Linked DNA regions of Macaca fascicularis. The protein of the gene in region 2 binds, or shares a complex with, the protein of the main gene of each other region. Links are inferred from orthologs where the notes say so. Each region holds a gene or a part of one and is shown on either strand. Other genes may lie near its edges. The genes, in order: DCP1A and PAK1.

The links.
Region 1: PAK1 (region 2) and DCP1A share a complex: the UniProt entries of both Homo sapiens proteins name them as parts of the cytoplasmic complex. The link is inferred for Macaca fascicularis from reciprocal best matches to the Homo sapiens genes PAK1 and DCP1A.

What each region holds. Positions count from the first base shown.
Region 1 is NC_088376.1:116,474,268-116,478,595, forward strand, and holds the start of DCP1A (mRNA-decapping enzyme 1A), read right to left. Parts: upstream 3,060-4,328; 5' UTR 3,034-3,059; coding exon 2,899-3,033; intron 425-2,898; coding exon 384-424; intron 1-383. UniProt on the Homo sapiens protein: Necessary for the degradation of mRNAs, both in normal mRNA turnover and in nonsense-mediated mRNA decay. Removes the 7-methyl guanine cap structure from mRNA molecules, yielding a 5'-phosphorylated mRNA fragment and 7m-GDP.
Region 2 is NC_088388.1:76,217,538-76,221,352, forward strand, and holds part of PAK1 (serine/threonine-protein kinase PAK 1), read right to left. Parts: intron 3,240-3,815; coding exon 3,043-3,239; intron 1-3,042. UniProt on the Homo sapiens protein: Protein kinase involved in intracellular signaling pathways downstream of integrins and receptor-type kinases that plays an important role in cytoskeleton dynamics, in cell adhesion, migration, proliferation, apoptosis, mitosis, and in vesicle-mediated transport processes.

The DNA.
Region 1 (4,328 bases), on a different chromosome or scaffold from region 2:
TAAAACAACAGAGGTAATGAAAAACATTATTTTACAGAGCTAGTCTATGTATTATCTTTTCCCCAAATATATATCTTTTTTTTTTCTTTCTAATATGGGGGTAGGGAGAGAGAGAGGCAGGTATCTGTTTTAGACTCAATCATTATTATTTTGAAATTGCTTTGCTAGACTTTTAACATAAATTCTAGTTCAGTTTATTCTGAATCACAGAAAGGCTCAGAGAAAAGAAAGAACCTGGTTAAGATTTCACAGCTAGGGAAAGATGAAAACTTGAAGGGGACTAGCAGGAAGGTTCCAAAGACAAATGTACAACAGAATTGAACCGTTTGACATTGTTCACCATTAAACTGTTAAAAACAAATACACATATTTTAAAAACTTACCTTCGATATACAAATAAGGTCCCTTCTATATCAGTTTTCTCCTATGAAAGACAATGAGTCCATTAGTTTTTTTTCCCCATAATCAGACCCCAAACAGTCCCAATGGAGAAGTAATGCTTCACGTTTAAGATCAAATTGTTTCATTTCATTTATTATAAAATTAACCACTTTGGAACAGATAAAGTCTCCCTCTCATTCCACAAATTGTGGTTACCATTTCTAATGTATGCTTTCAGTGCTACTGATGCATACATAAGCATACGCAATGTTTAATCCAGCAACATATCTGTATCTGCAGCATTTTTCTTTTTTAATTAGTAAAGGAGAAAATCATAGAATAAACCTTCACTTTTTATAGCTAAAATGTTTTAGCCAGATTTCTTAACTTCAAGGCTAAGGTCCTGTATACTGCAATTTTTTCTCTTTTAAAGTTTATCCAAGTTAATTTTAAAAAAGGAAAGGAATGAAATTTTTTTACAGGATACTTTGTTTCATCACTGGGGAGTTTTCGTACATTTTCACAACTAGTAAATTTTGTGGTTAAGAATTCCTACCAAACAAAACCAGCTTGTTATTTTTAGAACTTGAAGAATCATGAATACTGAAAGTATACCCTGCCTCACAGTAATTATTACAGGCCTTTACCATAGGTCATTTTCTGTGACAAGAGTATTTAGGTTTTAAACACAGTTCAGTGTTTTTTAAAAAATAAATAAGCTTATTAGTCTGCAATTTACAGCCTACAATGGACCTAAATATTTTACTGTAATCAACACATTATTAACATTTTAAATGTTGGTCATATATTGAATGTGCTGGGATTAAAAAATTTAGAAAATTGATCATCTTGATTTCTTCCAGAAGTACTACCCTAGCTTAAATATCATTATTTTCCTTCCTAAGGATTCAGAGGCTTTTTCTTACCTTTAAAACGTTAGGTTATTACTATAAGAAATTGGTAATCAACTGTCTTACAGTAAAAGAAAACTTGCCCACCAGAAAACATCATGTAAAGTTACAACTCACTGTAAAAATAACAACAAAGAGAGAAAAGATTTTTGTTATGCTCTACGTGCCAGGATCCAAATAAATGGTAGCAGCTTATTTTTCAATTCAGGTTATTATAGCTTGTATTTCTTATTTAAAACAGAACTCCCCAATGTAAAATTTTAAAATATTGAAAGCCTTTGTGAAAAACTAGAAAAACTCTTTAGTAAAAAGTCCTAGCCCCAAGTCTTCACCCTTGGTCTGCAATCCATATTTCACAAATTTACATATATGCCAAGAAAAGAAAAAAGATTCATAAAATTTCAAACTAAGGCAATGTCTAAAATAGCTACATTTAAAAAACAATCTACAATTTTATTCCTTGTGGCTTCCCATACCTCCTTCTCTTCCAGGAGGCAAAGATAAACAAAGTGATTATAAAAACTCTCTTCATCTGAATTAACTGTTCATAAATGCCAAATGATTTTCGATAAATTACTAATAAAAATAATCTACGCATCTGTATTATAGGGTAAACGACATACTACAGTCATCTTCCAGAGTTGTTAGTTTAAGGATTTCACATCTTATTGAAATGAGAACTCCAGTCATTGGTGAATTCAATCCAACAAACATTTACATACTATTTTCTAAGTGTAAAGCCTGTAACCGAATGAGTTAATTAGGAAGGGTCAATTACAAGAAAGTGGGAAATTATGCTAGTTGTTTTTAAACAACTAACAAAGCTTCAAGCAGGGGCTAACAAGAATCAGTGAACAGACTGAATGTAACTTTTCGGACCCTCTCCAGTGCACGAAAGCCAGAAAGTACTGAGTCTGAGGGGAACATTCAGAGATGACATCACCAGCATCATAGGTGGAACAAAACACATTTACAGGGTCTCTCTTGTTTGTACAAAGGTCTTCGGGGATCCAGTGAACATGGAAGCCCTTTTCCTAAGTGCCTTGAAATCTTTTCCGAAACTGTGTAGTTCGATTAAAGCCAGACCCACCGCACTCCCCCTTCCAAGAATCGAAACTAATTGGATTTTAAGCTTTAAATCCAAATGACCTCTGCGAAAGGGGCTCTCATTTACGTCTGCCGGGGGAGAGAAGGAGTGTTTATTTTATAGACAATGTACATGTAATTTATCTAATAATCCGCAAAGCCTCAAACACAAGCTTTCAGGCACTCTTTTGACCCCACCGGTCTCATAACTCCCAATGTATCTGCAAAGAAGGCAGGTCGCCCACGTCCCCAGACCCGACGCCAAGGGACTGATCCTGCTCCAATCCTCCCCTCCACTGGCTTTTTCTTGGGATGTCTCGAGCCACTTCTCTCACTCCTATCCCCCAATCTCAGGTGGACCCGACACCCCTCAGGCTCTGGCTCGGCTCTTCGCCAGTCCCTGGCCCCGTCTTCACCTCCCTGGCCTCTTGCTGTGTCCCCCACCCCACAGCAACCCGCGCGGCCCCTTTAAGAGACCGCAGCGGCCGGGCGGCCGTCCTCAGAGCCAGGCGGCACTCACCCACTGGTTGGCCTTGGGGCAGAAGGTGTACAGAGCAACCTGGCCCGTGAGGTCTGCGATGCTGGTGATGTAAGGGTCGTGTTGCTTCAGGGCCGCCAGGCTCATCTCCTGCCCAGCTCGACTCAGCGCCTCCATCTTGAATCCCGGAACCTAGCCCCTCTGGCGGGGGCGGAGTCGCGGACAGGAAAGTGCCATCGAGGCAAGGTTCCCCCATCTGCGTCAGTCCCATCAACTTCCGCCTCTACGTGGGCCTCGCGGCATGGCGGTACGTTAGCCATTCTGGTCCGCCAAGCGCACGCACCGGGCGCCGGGTTCCGGCGTTGTCAGGGTCCACTGCCCTACGACGTGGGGCGGTGTCCACGGCTGCGCAGTGGAGCTTGCAGGCTGGCGTCCGGCGCTTCCCTTCCCTGAGCTAAAACGACTAGGTCCTGGGATCTAATCTCTAGCTAGCTTGCCGAGCTCTTTCCAGGCAAAGGCTGGAGACCGCCGAAGTTCCGGCTTCGCGGTTCGCTGTCTGGCAGGGCCCGGGGCCACAGAAGGAAAACACCTCTGTGGAATGTGGAAATGCAGAACTCTACTGGGCCCGTTTAGAAAGCACAGAAAAGCATGGAAGAAAGGGAGAGGCGAGAAGCCTAGAAAATTACCCTAGATCTTAGGTATGGATATATCGACCTAAAAGAAAGAAGATGGGGCAAAGTTAATGCAAGCAGAGAGTTTATTTGGGCCAAGCTTGAGGATTGCAACCCAGGAGCATAGATTCAAGTTACCCTGAATATACACTGATTAGCAGAAGGTACAAGTGGATTTTTTTTTCTTTTTCTGTATTTCTGTCCTTTTTTTTTTTTTTTTTTTTTTGAGAGGGAGTTTCGCTCTTATCGCCCAGGCTGGAGTGCAGTGGCGCGATCTCGACTCACTGCAACCTCCGCCTCGAAGATTCAAGCGATTCTCCTGTCTCAGCGTCCCGAGTAGCTGGGATTACAGGGGCACGCCACCATGCCCTGATAATTTTTGTTTTTAGTAGAGACGGGATTTCGCCATGTTGGCCAGGCTAGTCTCGAATTCCTGACCTCAGGTGATCCACCCGCCTTGGCCTTCCAAAGTGCTGAGATTACGGGCTTGAGCCACCGCGCCTGGCCCTTTTCTTTGTTACTTTTTGAAACGGAGTCTTGCTCTGTCGCGCAGGCAGGAGTGCAGTGGCGCAATCTCAAGCTCACTACAACTTCTGCCTCCAGGTTTCAAGCGATTCTCCTGCCTCAGCCTCCCATTTAGCTGGAATTACAGGCGCCCGCCACCACACCTGGCTAATTTTTTCTTTCCTTTTTTTTTTTTTTTTTTTTAGTAGAAATGGGGTTTCATGACGTTGGCCAGGCAGGTCTTGAACTCCTGACCTCAGGTGATCCGCCCGCTTCAGCCTCCCAAAGTGCTCTTTT
Region 2 (3,815 bases):
GTATGACCTAAGGATCAGGCTGAACATTTAAAGGCCATGAGACTATGTGCAACTTCCCTATCTGTAAAGTAAGGATGATGATAATGCCCATCTCACATATCTGTAAAAATAAGATAGTGTATTTGAAAGTACTTTGTAAACTTACGAAATATGTTACAGACCTAAGGGTTTATTATTATTATTATTATTATTATTTTTTTTTTTTGAGACAGAGTCTCGCTCTGTCGCCCAGGCTGGAGTGTAGTGGTAAGATCTTGGCTCACTGTAACCTCCAGGCTTCAAGCGATTCTCCTGCCTCAGCCTCGCAAGTAGCTGGGATTACAGGTGCCCACCACTACACTCGGCTACTTTTTGTATTTTTAGTAGAGACAGGGTTTCACCATGTTGGCCAGGCTGGTCTCGAACTCCTAGACTCAAGTGATCCGCCTGCCTCAACCTCCCAAAGTACTGGGATTACAGATGTGAGCCACTATGCCCGGCTTTATTATTATTCTTGCTTACACATCTGAAGGGTTTATTATCCATTTAGCCTGTTGAAACATCTGCCCAGCTACTGGCAGAAATTATTCCTGGTGCCTTCACCTCAGTCATCCAAGAACTGATCTCTTCTAGCAGGAAAGGAATATTAAATATAAGTGAAAACTGTTGCCACCTTGGTCCCCTAAATGAAGCATCTCCTGGGAAAGGTAAAGAAAAACACAGTAAGACCAAATCTTTACAATCAGTCAGCACTTAATTCAAAGAGTACTTACATAAGCACTAATTTAATGGCCACAATTAACTCTGGGCAAGAATTATCATCCTCACTTCACAAATAAGGTACAGAAACATAAAAAGATATGTCTAGGGCCGGGCGTGGTGGCTCACTCCTGTAATCCCAGCACTTTGGGAGGCTGAGGTGGGTGGATCACCTGAGGTCAGAAGTTCGAGACCATCAAGACCAACCTGATCAATATGGCGAAATCTGGTCTCTACTAAAAGTACAAAACTTAGCTGGGCATGGTGGAAGATGCCTGTAATCCCAGCTACTCAGGAGGCTGAGGCAGGATAATCGCTTGAGCCTGGAAGGTGGAAGTTGCAGTGAGCTGAAATCACACCATTGCACTCTAGCCTGGGTGACAGAGTGAGACTCTGTCTCAAAAAAAAAATATGTGTGTGTGTGTGTGTGTGTCTAGGATCACTCTGTCTTGTTTCCAACATATCCCAGCAATTATTATCTTCAAATCTCTGCAAGGCCATTCTAAGGCAGGGAAGAATATGTTGCATGTGGAGTCAGAGGCAAAGCTGGGACCAAAGAATAGAAACTACAGAAGGTAGTTTCAGTTTGGTGCACTGAAGCAATTTCCAATAATCAGAGATATCCAAGGATGACATGAGCATGTAGATGACCACCTACCAGCAACAGTGCACAGGGAACTCCTGCACTAGATGGGAGGTGGGAATAAATGAGAAAATAAAAGCAATCAGAATAAATTTCACATTTGCCCACACAAAGATTACCAACCTATTTGCATCTGTGTTGATATGCTCTGTTACAAGGGATAAATTGTCCATGCTAATCTAATGTCCTTTACTTCAGTACTTGATCGAACCCCTCTCATCGACTTAAGGATATCACTTCTATGTTGTCACTTCCTTTTTGTACATGACCATTTTCCTCCTCTCCACTAAATCATTCCCATTAGCACACAGACATCTTTTAGAAAAACCCTCCCTTGACTCCATTTTAAGAGAGTGTTCCATTTTTGTTACCCTTCCCAGCAAAATTCCTTTAAGAGAAAAAAAACCTGTTTATACATGCCATCTCAACGTCCTCTTCTTCCACTTTCATGAATTTAATTAGACTTTCATCCCCATCTCTCTACTGACAACTGATTGTTAAGGTCATTAAGAACCTCTACATTGGCAAATCCAATGTTCATTTCTCAGTTTCATCTTAACCTATCAATCACATTTGACACATAATCTACCCTCCTCCTCCTTCAGGAAGCACACTGTTCTATTCATCTCCAGGACACTTCACCTCCAAGATACTTCTCTGTTCTCTCACACTAGAAAGGCCATTCCTTGGTCTACTTTGCTAGTTCCTCCAACCTGTAAACAGTGGAATAACCTAGAGCTCAGTACTCAAATCTCTTTTCTTTAACAGTACTCATTCTCTAGGTGAGTGATCTCATCTACCTCTGATTTTAAATACCAACTATATATTATCTACTAATAAATTTATGATTATTGTCCTGACCCCTCACCCTTGAACTCTAGACTCTTAAGCCAAACTCTACTCCCAGCTCCACTTAAATGTCTAATTAACACTTCAAATCAGCACATTCAAAACCAACTCTTAATTACCCAACTTAAGTATGGTCTTCACCATTTCAACAGATGGCAACTGAATTTTTTCAGCAATTCAGACCAAAAATCGTGTAGTAATTGCTGATTCCTCTTTCTCTAATATTCAGTTCATCCTGTCAGCTAGTCCTTCAAGACATTTCCTGAGTCTGAGCACTTCTCACTTCCACTCCTACCAAGACACCACCACTCTGAACTATTACAACAGTCTCTCGCAATCTATTTTCCATAAAAGCGGCCAAAATGATCTGTTTAAAACATAAATCAGATCACATTACTCCTCAGCTCAAAACCCTCTAATGACTTCCCAACTCTGCAGAATAAAATAACTTACGAGAGAGAACTTCCCTCTCTGCTCTAAAATAGCACACCTCTTCCTCCATTACTCTCTTAACTTCCTTACTTTGCTTTTTCTCACAGCATTTACCATCTGTTACTACATATTAATTTATTTTATTTTCATTAGAATAGTTTCTTGCACTTGAAAGGGACTCAGATAGTTGTTGAATAAATGAATGAGTGACTTCTAATATTCCTTTTCTTTGACCATTTATATTTTAAGTTCAACAGTGACTAGTTGTATCCAGAAAAGGGATCTCCAGGTTGAAAGCCATAGAGAATAGCCTGGATTCTTATTTCCTGGGACTAGAGACAACAGCCCAAATAAATTGAAATAGGAATGGTAACACTCACTCTCAGAGGGTTTTCATTGAGGTATGGAGGCTCCCCTTCAATCATTTCGATGGCCATGATGCCCAGGGACCAGATGTCAACCTTGGGCCCATAGGCCTTTCGTGTCACAACCTCTGGTGCCATCCAGTATGGGGTTCCCACCATGGTGCTCCGTTTGCTCTGCTCTGGGGTTATCTGTGCACAGAATCCAAAATCAGCTAGAAAAGAAAAATAAGAGAAAGAACATACATTTAGGATATACACTCACTTCAGTAAGTGTTGACTGTGTGCCTACACGTAGGTGACAAGATCTGCCTGGCTTCCAGCTCTGCTATCCTTTGTCTCTCCAAAGTCACTTGACTGCCACCTTCATGTCTAGCTCCTAGCCTATTTCCTATTGAACCCTGAAGAGAAATAGGAGGAATATAAGAAACACCATCTCTGGCCTCCTATCTCTCCTTAAACCAGGGGACTTAGTGTTAAAGTCCAAGCTGCCCATTTTGGTCTCGATTGCTTGTCCCAGTTTTGCTTTGTTCTTGAAAAACCATTCTCATATTCTCAAATATGGCAACGAGGTCCTTGCCTTATTTCTTGGGCACGAGTCCTTGATTTAAACCCCAGTCACCTATGACTAAGCATGGCCCTGTTTTTATGCCCCAGGCCCAGGGCTGCTAGCAGTCCTTCCATAAACTGCCCATCCACCCATAACATAGCCTGTTTTTCTGGTCTACTGGTCTTTACACCTTTGAACAAAATGTTCTACCTGCCGTGGTTTTCACATTATATTGCAATTA